Linked DNA regions of Drosophila melanogaster. The protein of the gene in region 3 interacts with the protein of the main gene of each other region in a biochemical or structural test. Each region holds a gene or a part of one and is shown on either strand. Other genes may lie near its edges.

Region 1 (4,720 bases), on a different chromosome or scaffold from region 3:
AACTTGTTTCGCTTAGACCCAATAAGCCGACATTTAAATATCCTTTTAAAGTCTCAAAAGGTTCGTCAGAATCGGAGACAAAGTAGCTTGAAAAGTAAATGTATTATGAGGGCAAACTACAGTTTCAATTAGAACTCATTTTTAATTATACCCCTAAGGGCTAGGTAAATGGAGGATGTGGCATACATTATTTTGACGGTAACATTGTAATGAGTGGATGCAAACAATTTTTGGCATGTGAATGGATAGTGATAATGAAATATTCCCCTCCACCTTCAACAAGATTTAAAGCCTGAATCTGAAAAGCAGACAGGTTCTAGGCTTATGGGCGCCAAGCAAAAATGTCTTTGGCGTTCTGTAGGGGCTTGCAAGATAATTAGAAAAATAATATTTTAAAACCTTTTTTAAATTTATAATTAAGTACTCAGGTTCTTTTAAGTGACTACGTTTACTCTAAGTAACTGAGTTTATATGTGGAAGTGTTTCAAATTCATTTCTGATAATTAAATTTGGAGATCATCATATATTTCGGTTCCAATGTGAGCCAGTTCAGGGTCAGTTCAGACCAATACAAATAGTTCCATAGGCGCAGAACTCGCACACAATTCCTCTGTGCTCAGTACAAAGATCGAGAAATATTTCCAATCTCCCAGACGCAGCACAAAACCAAAGATCCCTTTTCTATTATGAATTCGGATGGATTCCATTCGGATTTTATAAGATATTAGTTGATTAACCACTAGACACGGCGGACAAGGAGTCGCGAAGCTTCTTGCCTTGGTTCCGGTTAACCAGATGGAATCGAGATGAGTCTCAGTCAAATTTCAAATTAATGCTAACTGAAGTGCATGACTTTTTTTGTGTTGACCGAGATGCCAAAATTTGGCAATGGCTTTGGGAAGTTTCGGGGAATTTCTCGACAGGCAAACAAAAAAAATTAGGTATTTCGGAAGTATGCATTGTATACATTTTGCAAAAAGGGTTCCCAAATATAATGACAAAATGTTGCACATAAATTTTGATTATTCGAGACCAATAATAAAATTAATTACGTTCCCAAAGTAAAGTTTCCCAAAAAAAAACCATTAATAAAGATTTTGGAAAATTGCGTTTACAATTTTCTCTGTGCACTTTGAAGCTTGAGATTTCCTGTGCCCAAAAAGGTCCAAATTTACATTTGCCGCATAAAGCCCTTTCATTTGCCTCTTTGCTCTTTTTGTGTGCCACTGCATACATTTTACACACTTCATTATTTAATATAAAATGCATCCTCACACGCACACCTGCGCACAAGGGAAGACAATTGCTGGGCAAGGCGATGCGAATGAGTAAAAACGTTATTTAATTAATTAATTTTCATTAAAAACACGACAAAATGCGACGGCTGGTGGGTGGGGAGCGGATGGTTGCGAACAGGGTCGCAGAGGGGCGCAGAGGGGCGTGGCTGGACGGCGCAGGACATTAAAGGACGAGCAGATGCCTGCTCCTTCCTTGTCCTGTCACGCTGGCTGTCATTTACAATTTTAATCTCGCTGTGCAGCAGTTTAGCTTAAGTTCGGACGTCGGGATAATGAGCGGCCAGGTCCGCGCTTAAGGATAATGGAGCCTGCAGCTGGACAGTACTCCCTGTCCCACTCCATCTGTAATTAAAAAATCGCGCATGCAGCCAGCACTCCCTTCACCTGGTCGAATAAGGGCCAACGACCAAGTTGGCTCACAAATTTCATGGCTAATAAATCACTTTTAATATTAATAAAACATAAATCATTGCCAACTAAAAACTTGGCCTGCTAGTTGGATGCTGCAGTCTCATTTTGGCGCCTTTTGTTCGATGGCAAAAAGTTTCGGAGGAGTCTTCCAGAAAAGGTACCTCAAGAATGTGCCAAACTGGTGGCGGATGGCGAGGGATGAGCGAGAGATTGAATGGGGTTTTAAAGTTCAGGTGGGTGAAAGTTCTTGAAGGAAATCAGAAACACAAAAAGGGTTCAAAGCAATACATGGATACCGGATTTAAAATAAAATTGAATTCGGATCGTCTTACAAACCACTAAAAAAGATATTGAAAACCTTACTTAATTTTTGCAATGTGTAATGTATGCTATCATATTATATAAAATATATAATTACAAACAATTAAAAACGAAAAGAACACAAGCTGACAGTTTTATAATTATGTTAAACAATTTATCAAATCGTTAGTATGCGACAAAATGTACGATATGATTTTGACCATAAAAGGTGACTACATTTTCCCCACACGAAGGTATAAAGATAGTTGTTTTTGGGAAAAAAAACTGGCAAAAGTTAATTTGCAACTTGGCAAATCAACTGTTTTATTTACTGAAAACAAGAAACGAGAATAAAGGATTCCAACGAGTGACGAGTGACTCACATAAATGCAAACAAAGAAAGTTAATGTTAGAAAACGGAAAGGACATAGAAATTCAATGAACTGAAAAGGAATTCACTCATGAACAGTCGAGAGAATTCGCAAGAAAACAACTCGATTGGTGTAACAATTGGTTGAAAGGCTGAGAAAAGAAAGGGAATGCTAACATACCACCGATAATGCAATTGACAAATGAGTGAACAAGCGTATGTGAAATGATTTAGGCAGCGATCGACGGGCAATGGAGTAAAGGACTAAACGAGGGATTGGCTTCACCTCACTAGTGTAGTAATTTCTAAATACGCAGTCACAGCTCACATCGTATGCTTCGCGAAAAACTTTTGAATTTTTGGGTCTTAGAATTACCTTGTTCGAAAAAACAAGCAAAGCTTCGAAACTAGTCCAAAGCACTGGCCAACACTAAAAAAAAACTTGAAAATAATCAACTAACACTTGTCAAAAACTCTTCTCTCGACTTTCAGCTAGAGTAATTGTATCATTGTATCGTTGTTGTTTCGCGCCACTCGAAACCCGTTTTCGAAACTTTGGAATTTTTAGTTTGAAACTGAGTCCTTTCGTGTCTCGAATCCACTGGACTGAACTGAACCGACGCGCTAGGAAGTTGCCCGAGCACTGAACCTGTCGCACCAAGCGCGTTTCGCATTGGGCCGACCCAGCGCAATGTGCTCGTCCTTCGGCAGCACGGCCATCCCGATTTCCCAATTTCCCGACTTCCGATGTCCTGGCACTGTGGAGTCCCGTGTCCCGTGCCTGCCATCCCGAGGCCAGCCGAAATGCTTCCGAAGGACGAGCTCGTGTGGCGGACGAAGGCGTCAGTGCTTGTCCTCTGGCAACATGTTGCCAGCAACATTTAGAAGCTGGTAAATTTACTAGAGCAATTGCCTTAACTTAAAACGCAGAGATCTGCATAAGTGGTTAGTTTTGCCCAGTTGATTATTATTGGTTGAAAAACATTCTAAAAGAAAAGAAAAACGAGTTAAAGTTATACAGAAACCAATTGCTGAAATATAAAAGGCTGTATGTTTTACCAAGAGCTAGTTTTTCGGTTGTTCGCTTTCATCATTTTTCAAATGGGATATAACATTGTTAGCTGTTTTGGAATACATATAGAATTTATATCAGCCGACTTTTGACGATATTTTAAGCCTTACCTTGTGCAAAAAATTAGGAAAAGTCAAAGAAAGACGAAAGCATATTGAAAATAAATCGAACGTTAGAAAATATATCTTTATTTTGCTTGATCACTTTTTAAAACATATTAATTAAATTTCCAAAAAAAGATTTTAATGAATGCGACTATCGGATATTTATTAATCACCTAAGGACTGTGCAAGGGAGATGGAAAGGTGGAAGCAAGCAGAAGTCTCAATAGACTTAACTTTTACTTAATTTACTTTACATAGGTTGCAATAGTTCGATTAAGGCAGTTTTTGTTGTTGAAAAAATAGGAACATTTTAGCTAGACATTAACGACAACTGTAACTATAACGTTTGAAGATAACTTGTAAGACTAGTCACTAGTTTTTATACACTTCCTTCTGCTTCTGTTACATACATACTTGTCAACGACTCCAGATTGCATTGTTTCTTAGCTAGGTTAGGTAACAAAACTTGTTTTGAGCACATCATCTTATTTTATTTATTTATTTAACAAAATTAAATATAGTATACAATACTAAACCTAATTAAATTTAATGAGTACTAGCTACGGGGGCCTTCGACTCGAGACTTATGGGTTAATTGCTTTATATAATAAACTTAGCTTTTTGGACAAATTTGTAAATTTTTGAGATATTTTCACAGGATGGGATACTTAAACAATTCGAGAGACTATGTGTACCAAATAAGTGAGATCTAATTGAGTGCAATTGACTGCAGGCGTTGAGAATATGGTCAACGGTGAGCTCGTCCCCGCATAGTTGGCATGTTGGTCGCGCCGATCTCGTCAGTAAGTGTTGATGTGTGGATTGGGTGTGCCCGATGCGTAGACGGATAAAGGTCGCGCATTCCCGTTTATGTACGTTCGTTGGTGGCTTGAACATGATGCAATTCGGATTGATAGACTGGTACCTGTGCATGAAGAGTGCCCATTCGGAGAGTTTCCTTTCTTTGAGGTATAACTTGATTCGACTTTTTAGGTCCTTGGAGTTAAACGGAGTGAACAGGATTGATGGTGTAAGCCTCATCTCTTGGGCGGCTTTGTCAGCAAGTTCATTCCCATGAATACCTTGATGACTGGGAACCCAGAGTAAGGTGATTTTTTTTGGGTGAGAACTTAGAATGTGCCTAACTTCTTGTGTTGTGGGGTCA
Region 2 (4,130 bases), on a different chromosome or scaffold from region 3:
TCAATATTGTTGTTTAGTTTCCGAAAATATTGGTTTTGTAATTGACTTGACTTTGTTCAATTCAACTCAAGTTCCCCGAGCCCCACCATCTTGTCTTCGCCCTCCAGTTTTCTTCTCGTTTTTCCATTTTGGTTCGCCAGCCCGAGTTGAACGAACCTCTTTCAATATCTTTCAGAAAAAGAACCCAACTTTGCTTTGCTCGAAAATCAATATTATTGTTTAAATATTATTCTACGTATACGACACAGCGAGCAATAAATATTTACTAGATGTGCTCATGTTGCAAATTGTATTGGTTTTTTGGGGTTGAGTATGCAAAATCAGCAGGGAAATGGAGCAGAAATTGTTTTCGAGATTAGGAATTGAATAGGCGTAGAAAAAAATGATATTCTAGGAAACTAAATCTTAAACAAAGACGAAAAGCCTTCCTGTTTTGTTAGATTATGGTTCCAACTTTGTATATTATCAAGAACTGGTAAAAAAAACATACACGCGAATTCTTTAGTGGAATTCTTCCAACAATTTAAAAAATGATTTATTTATTGGATCGAAAGATTTTATGTTTAAAATTAAGAAGCTTTAGGAAATACTTCAAATATTAATTATAATGTATACATATAATTGTAAAGCTTTGAAAATGTAGTGATCACATAAAAAATGGGCCATATTTAACAACTTCAAACGGACAAGGTCACTTGACTCCAAACAGTTTTGTTGAGCACTTCAAAGGCCTGAATTTGTTCATTCAATTGGGCCAGTTTACTGAATATCAAATCGAACTTGGAATCAAAGTGCTGCACCACTGCTTTCAGTTCATCGCGCAGTTTGTCCACCTCGCTGGGATCAGAACTACTTGTTATGGGCGAGGACTCTACGCTGGCGGAGATTTCCGAAGAGGAGGAGGAGTCCACACCCTCTTTTTCGGGCAAGCGATACATGCAGGCTATTCCGTGAAAGTATTCCCCCGGAAAATCGGGATCGTAGTTATCCACGGTATAGGCAATGCCATTGGCACGAATGAGCACATCCATTATGTTTCTCAGGCTGAAGCAGTTCCAGTTATTTCCATGAATATAGAAGTGCGTTAGTTGCGTGAGCGTGGGGAACGCGGATGGATCGATTTCCGTCAAATTATTGCCGGATATGTCAAGTTTCTGCAAATTTTGCATACCCTGCAACGCCTCCAGCGGCAGTTCCATCTGGCCCGTATTCCGCAGCACCAGCATCTCCAGATGTGGCGTCCGCCAACCGTCGGGCAACTGACCCAGGTTCGGATTGTCCGCCACATCCAGGTGCCGGAGTCTGGGCACGCGGCTCAACGACGCCAGCTGAACCAGCGAGTTGTTGCGCAGCACCAAATGCTCCAGTGCCTCGGAGGCGGGAAAGTACAGCTCGCGCACGCGATTGTCGCTCAGATCGACATTCGTCACCGATCCGTACAAATTGACACGGTCCAGCGAGCAATTGCGAGCGGTCAAATTGGTGGCGTTAATGTTCAGCAGTAGAACGACCAGCTCGGGGTTATTCGATAGATCCACATACTGCATCTGATGGTGTCGTCCGCGGGATCGAAAGGCATACTCGCCCACCTCTCGCAGTCGATTGTTCTGCATTGCGACCGACAAAAGGTCCGGATTGTGGGCAAATAAATCGCTCTCAATGGTGGTCAGTTGATTACCGGCCAGTCCCACGTGCCGCAGACTCTTCAGTCCGGCAAATACGTCCGCGGCTAAAGCCTCCAGGCGATTCTCTGTGAGATCCAGGTACTGTAATTTCAGGAGATTATCAAACGCACCCGCCTGCAGTTTGCCTAGTTTGTTGCGATTCAGGAAGATAAACTCCAAGTTTCCTGCTCCCCTGAAGGTTTTCGTGGGCAGCACTTCGATGTGATTATCGCTGAGCAGAAGAATCACCAGCTTATCCGCACCAATGGAGAAGTTCTCCCAGTAAATGAAGCGGATGCCACAGCCGCGCATGTCCAGCTCACTGACCTCTAGTGTGTAAAATAAGCGCAGGGGAAAATTGGTGAAGGTGCAGTTCTCGAAGATCAGGGTTCGCGAGTGCTCCTCATCGCCCACTTCGTAGGTGGTGCCATCCTCGGCAATCCGCACCTCCGTTGGCAGATCAAAGGTGGCCTTCTCGTCCTCTCCCGCAAACTCAAAGCCCCTGCAGCTGGTCACCTTGCCCTCCGTCTGGCAATGACCTTCCAAGCTGGAGACCAGCACTATTCGGGATGAGCCACTATCCACATCAGCATCCGCGTCCTCATCCGTAGTAGCTGTGGCCGCCAATGAGATCAGCAAATAGCTGCAGAGGAACGGCAGACAATTCCGGACGTACATTTGGCGTGCTCCACGATTCACGTTCGACCTGAAACTGATTCCAAACGTTGACCGCCAAACGCCTGGCCAGATAAGCTCCTCTATAATGCTCAAATAACGATCATCAGTTCTATATAATTGCCATCCCATTCTATTCATGGTGTTCTGATTTTGCGAAAATAAATATGGTTCATCTGTGGCGGGTACAGCGCATTTCGAAAATGTAAGGCAGGGTTTTTTTCTTTTTTTTGAAATCGGATTGAAATACTATTTCTATTTCGAAGAATTGAGATGCTTTGGAAATCACTGCTGACTAATTAATAGATTTAATTACAATTATTTGTCTGGGAACTCCTTTTAAAAGAAATTAACATCTTTTGCTGTACGAGAGAGATGAAAATCGGTTTGTTTTTTTTTGTACCTATCATTATTTTGACACTTGTCTGTGCTGCTTTTCCGTTTATTATTCATGATTTTTTGCTGCTCTATGGAAGTTCTCGCTCTGTTGGCTCCATTCAAAACTCACAGACTTTGAAAAAAAAAACAAAACTTTGTACAATATCTGTGGAGCAATTCCCACTCATTTCCAGTGTGTTCTCTTATCATGAAGTGTTTACTTAGCGATTTGCTGAACAAAAGGTGGAAATCTCTTTTGGCTGCTGATAGTGGACATGAGGCCAGACATTCGCCCATTTTTATGTAAGAGTATTTTCATTGGGGCCCATCCATCTTTGGCTTTTACCATCGAAAATATAGGCGCGTGGAAACGTTGCTTAAAATACCTTCTATATAATTTACACAACAGCCATTTAGCATTTTGTTGGCACTGCCTTGCGTTGTGTAGTTTTGCTGATGATTGCCCGAATGACTCATTATTTATCAGGCGAACAATTCAGTGGAGGGCATTTGAGTTTCGGTTTGATAAGAGCAAACGAACTTCCGTTAACTACTTTGTCGTCTGCATTTATTCCTAGTCTTATTTTTAAAGCAATCAGGCAAGAATGTAGGCACCTTTACACGAAAAACATTCGTAAATATAGCGAAACCAGAACTTTCGCCTGCGAAGCGGTGACATGTCCAGTGGAAAAATGTGTAAAATATTTAGCCAATTATTTAGCCAACATGCCAGCGGTTTTGAGAACACGTTCAACCTGCTTTCTCAGTCGTTCAATTTGCCAGTTGCAGCTTAGCGGGCGAAAACAAAAAGATTATGACAGGTAGAGCCTTATTAATTTGTATGCAAACAAATTTATACGCTTGTTGAAATGTTAAAAATTAATTTTCCATTCGTTTGCGTTGGGATTTTCTCGGCTTTGGCCGCCTGGGCAAACAAACAATTTGAATATCGATGGCTAATTTTTTTCACTTTATGTATTCACAATTGATCTGCCTGTTTGCATTGGGCTTATTATGAGCCAATGGCTTTTAAATTACTCGACTCAAGACGACTTTTGTTCTTTGCATGGCATTTGCCATAGCTGTATCTGTATCTATTGTAGCTGTGTATTGTATCTCAATTGAAACGGCATGACTTCGTTTAGCGTCTTTTTTTCACTTTTTCGCCTGTGCCCCCTTTGTTGAATTCAATTTGCCGCAATTACTTTGCATACAAGTTTCGAGAAATAAAAAAAAAAAAACAAAGAGTGAAAATTACCAGGCTTTTATTCTGTCGAGACTTTGTCCCCGCCGTCTGTACTTTATTCAAATCAAATTCGCCCAATAGTTTAGCAGTGTAAACAAATGCGATATAGAAATATATTAAATCAGAACATATAGCGCACCATTTTACGCCTCTATTGTGGGTGCTTT
Region 3 (4,766 bases):
CTTTTACGAGGGGTTGGCTCATTTAAAGAAATATTTAATTTCGAGTAAATGAATTATAAATGCAATTTGCTGGCAGCTCTATTTCTTGTTTTGCCGCCGCCTTACTTATGATGCGTCTTTGTCCTCCGATGGCCCAGTCGGAGAATTAATTACGCCGCTGAAAGTTGATTCCCGCCATCCCGACGGGGATGCGGATCCGGATGCGGATGCGGAAGCCCTTGTGCCAATGCGACCACAACTGACCCAGTTGTTTAATTGAATTGAAGCCATAAACACTTGGAGTAGAACGACCACAGCCGCACAAAACGAGAACGCGTCGGGAATGAAAAATGGCCACGGCCAGGAGCACTCGCTAAATAACCTTAATTAGTAGTGCGAGTGCGGCCATCAATCACCTTTGCTTGCCTGCGTCAGAGAGAGAGATGACCAGAGAGCCGGCCAGCGGAAACGGAAATGGCAAGCGGAAACGCCAACGGATGCCACGTGGCCATTGCTAAGCATTTTGACAGCTGCGCCTGTCGCCTATGCAACAAAACACAGATACATTGCTCTACAGCGGATCAATAGGCATTCAAGTCTTATTAACTTATTACTTAAACTATCCTACAAGCATCATGCAAAAGTTCTTTGAAATTGTGGTCTGGCTATGAAACAAGCTTATGGATAGAACAAATAAATAAGATTATATGTTTTAGAGAATGTTGATTTGCCTATGTATATCGGAATTTCTTCAAGACAATACTTTTCTTATTTGTATTCATGTTCTAAAAATTAAGGAAAGGAAAAAAAAATAGAAAGGAGGAAATTAATCAAATTGCTAATTTCATCAACGTGGCTAGAAAAAGCAGCATTAAAAAAAACAAAAGCAGATGCGGTACCCTGCGCTGCTCTGCAAGAAAGCTGGCGTTTTTCAGCGAGTGGCAAGCAAAGTTGTTGACATCTTGTGAGCCAACACGTACCGCCAGTCGGCAGCAACAAAAACACACAGAACAGCACACAAAAAGTAGTAAACACTTGACGGGAGCAGCAGAAACAACACGAACAAACAGCCAGTAGTGCCAAAGAGAAGGAAGGACCAGAACTGAAGCTACGGCAAATGTTTGCTTAAAAATGATGCGAACCCCTACGAAAGAACAAGAATTTCGAAATGGGATGGGTTTTTGGATGGTTTTCTTGGTGGGCGGGGTAGATTGGGGGACTGGCGTTTGGGGATCGGATGCTTCTGCTGCCACTGACAGATGCAAGACGCGTTGACAGTGACAAAGACAATGATGACGACGACGACGATGGTTATGTTTGGGGCTCATCATCAGCAGGGCGATGAGGGGATGTTGGGATGGAGGCCAGCATTTGGCATAATCCTGCTGACAAAATGTCATTACACCATCCACACATAGTGGAGTTGCCTTTTGAAGTTTTCGGCGAAGGCGGAAAAGGCACTGCAAACTTAAATAAATAAATATGCCTTCCCGCTGACAAGTGAGGAAAAGTTCGTACAGATAGCATGTGCGCTGAAGTCTGTGTATTTTCATATCAAGGGAAAATAAGTTTTCAAGAGACATTTGCTCAAATTACAGTCATATTTAAATAACCCGAGAAATTGTTGGCGTTACTTCTGGCATTCTTGGCAAATTACTGCGAATGGATTTTTTGTGAGTTACTTGCATAAATGTATAGAATATGATAAATGTGATACAGTACCGCATTATCTATCTGTTTTCATTTAAACTTTATGTTATCTAGCCTAACACGTTATATATTTTTTTTCAATATAATTTGATGGAAACTTTGCAATAATTGGTGTAATGTAGCTGGTACCTTTTACTGCAAAGTGCCCGCCTAAATCCTGTTGACTTACCACAATATTTTTCGAAATAGTCCTTTTGCCGTAGTCTGGAGTCTGTTGCAGCTGCAGTTATTCCACTTTCCCCGAGGATCGCCAGTCACGCGAGTGGCCCAGTCATTGACAAATGGCCAGAGAACTTCTATTGTTTTATTTTTATTATATTTTACTTCTCTTCATTTTCAGAGCACTTTTCAATTGAGCTTTCTCCCGCTTCCCCGCGGAATTTGGCCTAGTTTGTTGTCTGCGATTTGGTGTTGTTTTCCAAATACATATTTATGTATGTATGTATGTGGGTTTTCCCCTGGCTTTGGTAGGCCTGCAGTTTTGAGTTACTTGGCACTTGGCTAATGCTTTTGTCTGCTTTTCTTCTGCTTTACTATGCTTTTCTTATGCTTTTTTCATGCTTTTCTGCCAGACGGGCGACGCAGTGTCTTTGCTTGCACTTGAGGAACCGTTATCTGGGTGGTGTACGAGTGTGCGAGTGTGTGTGCGCTTTTTTGTGTGGTTGAATTAGCGAGTGAGACACGAACTTTTGACCCCGTTTCGACAATAACAACACGAGAAGAGCAGAGGCTTGGCTTCCATTCTCCGGCTTTTTGAACCACTGGCCGGCTTTTTGGCTTTTCAACACCAAAAGCGCTTACATTTATGTCCGTGACTGTTTTGAGGGTTCTGAGGATTGCCCGAATGAAGGGTTTGCTGAAGTGCCCTGGCTTTTATTGATTTAGCAAGGCGTTATAGCCCGCAAATATAATACAAATCAGGCTCTCATTCGATTGGGGTTATCAATTGGCTTTAACTTTCGCATCAATAAAGTATGTTTACCGTTGGAACTTTAAGCACTTTCCCTCAACACATTCACAGTTCCATATGTTTAACGGCGCTTTTCACTAACGAATTGTTTATTGTTTGTTGTTTCCGCGTTTTTTATTGATTTGGCAGGGCGTTTTTTCCACAATCATAATAAATGCCAGTCATTTCCCGTTAGTTTTTTATAACCCATCAGTAGCAGTAGCACTACTTCCTTCGTTCTTCCTCTTCTCCCGTTGTAAAGAGTGGTTTTACCGTTAGGGTTTTATTAGCACTTTTCACTACAATAGCTGAAGTTCCGATTTGGGTTTTGCGCACGTTTTACGTAGCTAGCCGAAAACTGATAAAACATCCGCATACATGTTGTTTTTGCTCAGCCAGCGCCTCACGAACTGAGTTTAAGAACGGCGAAATACGCGAAAAGCCAGCATCTCAGCTCAGCTGTGATTGCGGTACTTTCGCTCTCTCTCTTTGGCGCCATCCGGAAAAGTACCGTACTCCACGTGGCTAGCGAACAGCTGTTGCCGCAGATGTTCCACTGAGCATGCGCAAAAGGAGCTCGCCGCGGGAAACTGGGAAATTAGAAAGCTCCGTTACTGGAAAATCGGTTTAGTGGGAACGGTTGCTAGCTATTTTCATATGCCATAAAAGTTTCTCCACCAACACGACACCTACAACTTGATGGCACCCAAAAGTTGGCGCGAAAGTCAACACTTCGCACATAAAGACATCTTTCCGCTTGGCCAACTTTTCGGGCCAACAAACTTTTCACATTACAAAAAGCGCACATTTTTTAACCCACATTTGGCATAAATTTTCGCATTACTTGGGTTAACCAGAGCTCTAGCACAAAAGAATGGTAGATATTATAAATTATTTGGGGAGTTTAGAAAACCACTCTCTTCTAAAACTCTACTCAAAATAAAATCAAAAAATTCGTCTTAATAGGTGTTTAATGCATTTATGCATTTTAGATTGGCAATTAGAAACAGAAACCGTAAATAGTATTATTATTACTGATTTAATGGCCTTCAAACCCTTTATTGTTAAAAACATTATCTTTTTGTCATTACTTTTGTTTTAATTTTAGTTACGTTTTTTATTGTTAAATAATTACAAAACCCTAATGCACAAAAATGCAAAAAACGTCGAAGCCAGCAAGCGCCGGCAGCGAAAGTGTTCAGCAACAATGGCCATCGTGACCGCTGTGGTTGTGCGAGTGGCCATGTCCGCCGGATCTGTGGACCGCCTTCTCCTCCTCCTCGCCTGACTGCTTCGCAGCCTTGGCCTGATCCTCATCGGCAAACTCGCTGAGGTCGCGTCGCATGGCATATGCATCCTCGCCATCGGCATAGTACTTGGGCTCCACCTCGATGATCTTGAACTTGAGGGCGTTGGTGTAGAGGTTCAGGGCAGCCCGATTGCTCTTCCTCACGTGCAGGGACACGTACTGGGCATTGAAGCACTCGACCATGGCCTGGGAGGCCTGATTCATGAGCTTCTGGGCCAGGCCCAATCGCCGATAGGAACGCTTGACCGCTAGCGAGGTGATGTGCCCATGGCGGCTCTCCTCATTGGGCTCCGGCTCCTCCATCTTGGCCAGGACATAGCCCACAATGGCGCCCTTGTCGTCAACGGCCACGTAGCTAAGCTGAGGCCAGGTTAGTCCGTGGTAAAAGTAGTACTTCATCTGGTAGTTTTCGGGTAGACACAGCAGATTGCAGTGCTGCATGGTCATTAGGTCTTCCGGTTTTGCGCAGCGGATGTTCATGGTGAGGCTGTGTAGATGTGCTTCCTAGTCTCGGCGAGCTTTCCTGGCTCTGCCGTGGTGGTGTGGCTGTTGATTCTGATGATCCCAAGCAAGTGGTTGCTGATCCTCCGGCTCCTCCTGACCCAACAGCTCTCGAACCAGACGAAATTTCGATAGAAACGCCTTCCAGATGAGGAACCAGCCTGCAAAATAGACAAATTTCAATATGACTTGTTGCTCGGATCGTAGAAAATTGTTTCCATTATAACGTGATCGTCTGCGGGCGCCTGCTTACCCAACAAAATAATTGCTGCGACGATACTAACAGAGGCTAATATGGTGAAAATGAAAGCCAAGCCC
Region 4 (4,983 bases), on a different chromosome or scaffold from region 3:
GAGACAAAACTTTTTCCCTTATGACTCGCTTATGAAATTAAGCAATTTTGACTCCACCTCTTCCCCCAAAAACCACGCACACATGATAAAGCTTTTTTGGTATGGACCGAAACAGATTTACCATCAGAAACAAGAACAAGAAGTCCAACAAATTTTATGCACTTTTTTATGAGTTTGGCAAAGTGTTTGTAATTAAATTAATAAATTGTTGAGGGAGAAACTTGTTCCGAATGTGTTTTTCTTGTATTTTTATGCTAGGAAATTAAATTTTAATGGGGCTATTTAGTGTTTGTTTGGTTTTTGCTGTTTTTATAATGATAACTTTTTGGTAAAACAAATTGGCTTATAATTGTTGCGGGATTAAAGGGACTTAACTAAACGGGTGCGTAGATGAAAGAGACAATAACATTTATTTGTTTATGCTGACTAAGTTCATAGCCATTATAATATTTTTTATTGGGTGTTTAAATTTTCTTTTTAAAAGATTCTGTGTAAACGTAAATTAATCCTGACATAGTCATTAGCCCAAAAAAAATGTTCCTAGCTCTCAGGGGATTTCTCCTAAGCTTCTATAAATGCCTGACAGCTTTTAACCTTCATGGTTTTGTGGTAATTGAAGGGAGAAAAGAAAGCAGCACAAAGGAGGCCGAAATTGAATTAAGATATGTTTACCTATGGCCGAATTTATTTACATTAAAAGGTTCTTCAAAGAAGAAGCAAGCTAGAAAGGTTGTGCCTGTTACCTATCACTTATATTTTGGCAGCAAACAATACAAATACATGAAAATAAAATTCCGATTTAATTTGGTTTTATTTAAGGACTTACATCTCTCCCTTATCGAAAATTCGTTAGTTCACGTTACTATTTATTCGGATAATACAAGCTTAACTAGACTCAATTTAACTCTGATTTTATCTGGATAAAGTACTCTATTATATTTTCAGAAGTGCAATATAGAAACTAAATTTACCAAATAAACGCACCAATAAATATGCACTTATGATCAAAGCTCACACATATTTTCGACATCATCATCAGCAGCATCAAAGTTTTGCTATTTTGTTTGTTTTACTCTACACAATTTGTAAAGTTCCTGTAACTGCAAACGTCAAACCGAACTCGAGCAAACAAAACGCAACAAAGCTGAACTCAAAAAAGAATTCAAAAAAGATGGAAATAAATAAAGAACCAATAAGCCCTCTCTTCACTAGCTTTTGAAAAAAGTTCTGAAACAGCTGACATCCATGAGTTTCCCATCCTTCTTCTGCTCTGTGTGTTTACGTGTCTTACTCAAACTGTATCAGCTCCATATTGCCATTGATCTGCAATGATGCCTGAATGCAAAACATACCATTGTACAGTGGATACCCAACAAAATGAATCATTTCACATATGTTATAAATATGAAATAATTTAAATCTTAATTATATATTAAATGGAATTAAAATATTTGGACCATAAGAACCGATATATTGATATTAGTGGTGGATCCATTCTAAGTCTTGGTATATTGAATAAATTATGTAAAGTATTTTTACAACAATTTCTATTAGTTTCCAATGTTGTATACTGTAATTAAATATTTCTCTTTAATATTTTTTTTTTTTAATAAATTGTAACAAAATGCTAAGAAACGTTTACAATGAGCTTTGACAATATTCATACTCAAAGACTTATTCTGCATTTGGAATACAGTTGTGTCCAGTAACACATAGGCCCCACTGTACTCTCTGCGTTGTCTGTCTCTATCTCCTACTCCATTAAGTATGCAAGTTTTCAGCAGTTGGCAGTCGGGTCCTGGCCCTTTTCCCTGCATATCCTGATTCTCATGGATGCAGTGGGTTAATGTATTTTTAAGCTAAATTCTTTGTTTATATTTGCCTTGCTGTTTTCGGTTGTGTTTGTGTGTTGTGCATTGCGTTGCAGTGGCAACAACTGCTGTCCTTTATCAATCGCAACAAATTTCCCCTTCGACTATTTTTTTTGCGAGTTGTCCCAAAGTGAACTCTAGTGGATTCATTTATTCGCATATAAGTTTGTTTGGGAATTTTTCACAGATTGAAGAATGGCGTTGTGTGCGTGTCTGCCAGTTTTCGGGATTTAAGGACTTCGAGGGTCCTGGAGATAGTCTCGCTGTTTGTTTACTTTTTGTTGGCATGAAATGTGCATTAGCAGAGTTAACTGTTAATTGTTTACCCATTTCGAGGGCCTGACAAGTGACATGTGAGTTTGTGGTCTGGATTGTAGCTGTGGTTAACCATTAAATGGAGTTCAGTTATTTGAAATACTCGCACTAAGATAAATCGAAGTCTTTAATTGCATTTGAATGATCTGCAGTCCCAAACATAAACCTTTTACATTATATATTGTAATTAAGATTTTATACATAAATATAATATATAGCGTAACGAAACAAACGCATTAAACCAACTCCTTATTGCATTTTCAATTTTTAACATAGCTTATAATTACTTATCCTAACCGGCACTCGCACTTTTAAAAATTGTTGGAACTTTCGATTTAATATACTTCTGTCACTGATATTTATAAATAATATCTAAAGTTTGTTAAATTTAAAATTCCATATTTTTATAAAGTTTCTATTCTATTCTATGAATTATTAATAAAAAAGACTTTTCCGATGATCAAATTGTTCTTCTGTTTAAGACCTTAATAGTATGAATTGCATGTATTGAAATAATTAATTTACATACTGTAACTACAAGAATATTTTTGTGAATATTTAATTCTGTAGGTTAGTTTTGTGTTACGTATGATATACCAAGTTTTCAACCACTTTTACAAATTGTAATCTTTCAATAAAACGCTTACAAGTTTTGGTATTTTTTTAAATTTTATAATCAAGTGGACCTAAGTTTTTTAGCTCGACTTTTAAGTCATTTCTCAACACGATCACATTGAGTCAGGTGCTTCTAATTTGGCATCGATCACATGACACTTGAGTACGACTTTCCCTTTGCCGGGGATCTTTCAGTGTAACACCGATAAAACGCGTCCGCTTCGTGCAGAATCCGTAGCGAAACTGATTTGCCGACGAAACCTAATGCTCGCACAGAGCCGGGCTCTGGCTTTCCACCAACAACAATAAGGGAAAATCTAACGAATGGGAAGTGCTGTTACGTATACGCCGCGTTGGCCGAGTGATAACAGGCGGGGACGAGCCGACGGCCGACAGAGCGAGCCGAAGTGTAGCTTCGGTTTAAGCCAACCAAAGGACGCTGGATGCTGTTCATTGGTAGTTGTTGCTGCCGGTTGCTGGTTATGTCCGGTATCCTTGTTATGTTCGGAGGCTTGTTGTTTGCGTGCAACCGCAACCACAACAACAGACCGCAAAACACGCGACAAAAATGTTAACAGAGTCCAACCTGCAACACCATGCCCCAAAATCACCTCTCAAAGTTCGAGTTGCATGCCGATTCCGCCGTCGAACCTTTTTGGCTCGTTCCGGCTGAAGCTGTACCCTTTTAATAATAATTGAATTAAGATAAAATGAAAACAAAATCAAAACACATTTTTGCTTTCCGTTGGTTGCTGCATATTGCTATTTGGAGCCAAGTATTTAATTAGACAAGTTAATTAAATTTATTTGCATTTCATTTCAAGTCCATGTGCGTATGTTGAGCGAAAAAAGTGCAATTAATTTGAGATATTCAATTTGCAAGCGTTGCTTATTCGATTTTCGCTGATGCAGGACCATCTAATTGAGGGTGATAATTGCGTTTTATGACTGACTGAGCTAGCAAAGCTGGTTGTCAGTTGGTAGACGGTTAATTAAGAAGTTCTTTTCAAAGTTAACAGTGGTATTTTTGAATGGTTAGACAGATAATATTTTTAGTTACTTATTTTTTGAAGTATTTCATGATGATTTTATCCTATTAAATTAGGTGCACGAAAAAAGTTTTGCTATTTTTTAACTAGACCTTGTTTTAAGGGCACTGTAATCATCTCGACAAGCACTGGTCAGTTGTGCAGAAGGAAAAAAAAACGATGCATATCCGTCTGAAAGTTAGTCTATATATAGACGGATTGTATGCGATATGAGAGTGATGAATTCTCCCTGTTGGCCATACTGAACTATCTTAATGAACTCTTTCAAATCACAGACATCGCTCAATGCCAAAAACATTAAAACTGACAAGGCTAGACGGCAGACAAGATGACTGCTCTGTGACCCTCTCCCTGGGATTCCTCTACACACCACACACCCAAGGAGAAACGTGCACCATCGCTTGGCAAGTTCATTGTGGGGGGAATCCCAGAGGTGATAGGGCGGCGAGTGGGCGTGGTCGACTGTTGCGCCAGGATGTGACCAAAACAGGAAGAGTGGGTGGAGCGGGTGGATTAGGTGATGGCGAATGAGGAGGCGGAGGCGGAAAGGCCACAAAGGTCGTTGCAACACATTCGCTTCGTTGGGTCAAAAGTCAAGCGTTGGACGGGGGATCCCTTTGGATGCCAGCCATTACAACACTTTGTTGGCTGCTTTGTAAAGTTTTTCTCACCATGGAAAAAGTTTTTTTCTCTCTTTCCCAGTCTTTTTGTATTTTTCACGCCTTGTCCGAAAGTTTCCTGTTTTTCCCCTCTACTTGTTTTGCTATTTTTTCCCGCTGCCGCCTTAACAATGAAATTTTTGACTGCTGATTGTTTGCTGTTCAATGTTATTCTTCCAGTTCAATGCGAGTTTAAGTAGACAGAGCTAAACAAAATGGAAAAAAAGTATACAAAACCGGTCGGAAATATTGGACCTCCTTCTCTGGTACTTAGCCAAAGTCTGCAGCAAATTGAAAATGGAAAGTTTGGTTCCTGTTTTCCTGTGTAGATATATTCACAATTTCTTTTGCAGTTTGTCTGCGACTTTGGTTAAGTATGCCCTGCAGTCTAGTCTCTCTGCTAAGGACTGCCCAAATGAGGTAAAATAGTTTGGGGAATACTATCGGCAAAGTTTTGCCCCGGCTTGTCTGGTA

The links.
Region 1: the proteins of dpr6 (region 3) and DIP-beta form a complex in vitro, tested with the Drosophila melanogaster proteins (one study listed by BioGRID).
Region 2: the proteins of dpr6 (region 3) and cDIP form a complex in vitro, tested with the Drosophila melanogaster proteins (one study listed by BioGRID).
Region 4: the proteins of dpr6 (region 3) and DIP-zeta form a complex in vitro, tested with the Drosophila melanogaster proteins (one study listed by BioGRID).

The regions. Positions count from the first base shown.
Region 1 is NC_004354.4:21,454,711-21,459,430, forward strand, and holds the start of DIP-beta (Dpr-interacting protein beta), read right to left. Parts: upstream 3,029-4,720; 5' UTR 2,841-3,028; exon of another isoform or gene 2,756-2,840; intron 1-2,755.
Region 2 is NT_033777.3:21,158,713-21,162,842, forward strand, and holds cDIP (common Dpr-interacting protein), read right to left. Parts: upstream 2,381-4,130; 5' UTR 2,343-2,380; coding exon 678-2,342; 3' UTR 526-677; downstream 1-525.
Region 3 is NT_037436.4:9,972,937-9,977,702, reverse strand, and holds the start of dpr6 (defective proboscis extension response 6), read right to left. Parts: upstream 3,053-4,766; 5' UTR 1,859-3,052; intron 1-1,858. Other genes in the region: vnc (variable nurse cells), read right to left, coding at 3,837-4,427; CG42455 (uncharacterized protein), read right to left, coding at 4,452-4,609, 4,702-4,766.
Region 4 is NT_033779.5:9,068,117-9,073,099, forward strand, and holds the start of DIP-zeta (Dpr-interacting protein zeta), read right to left. Parts: upstream 3,049-4,983; 5' UTR 2,716-3,048; intron 1-2,715.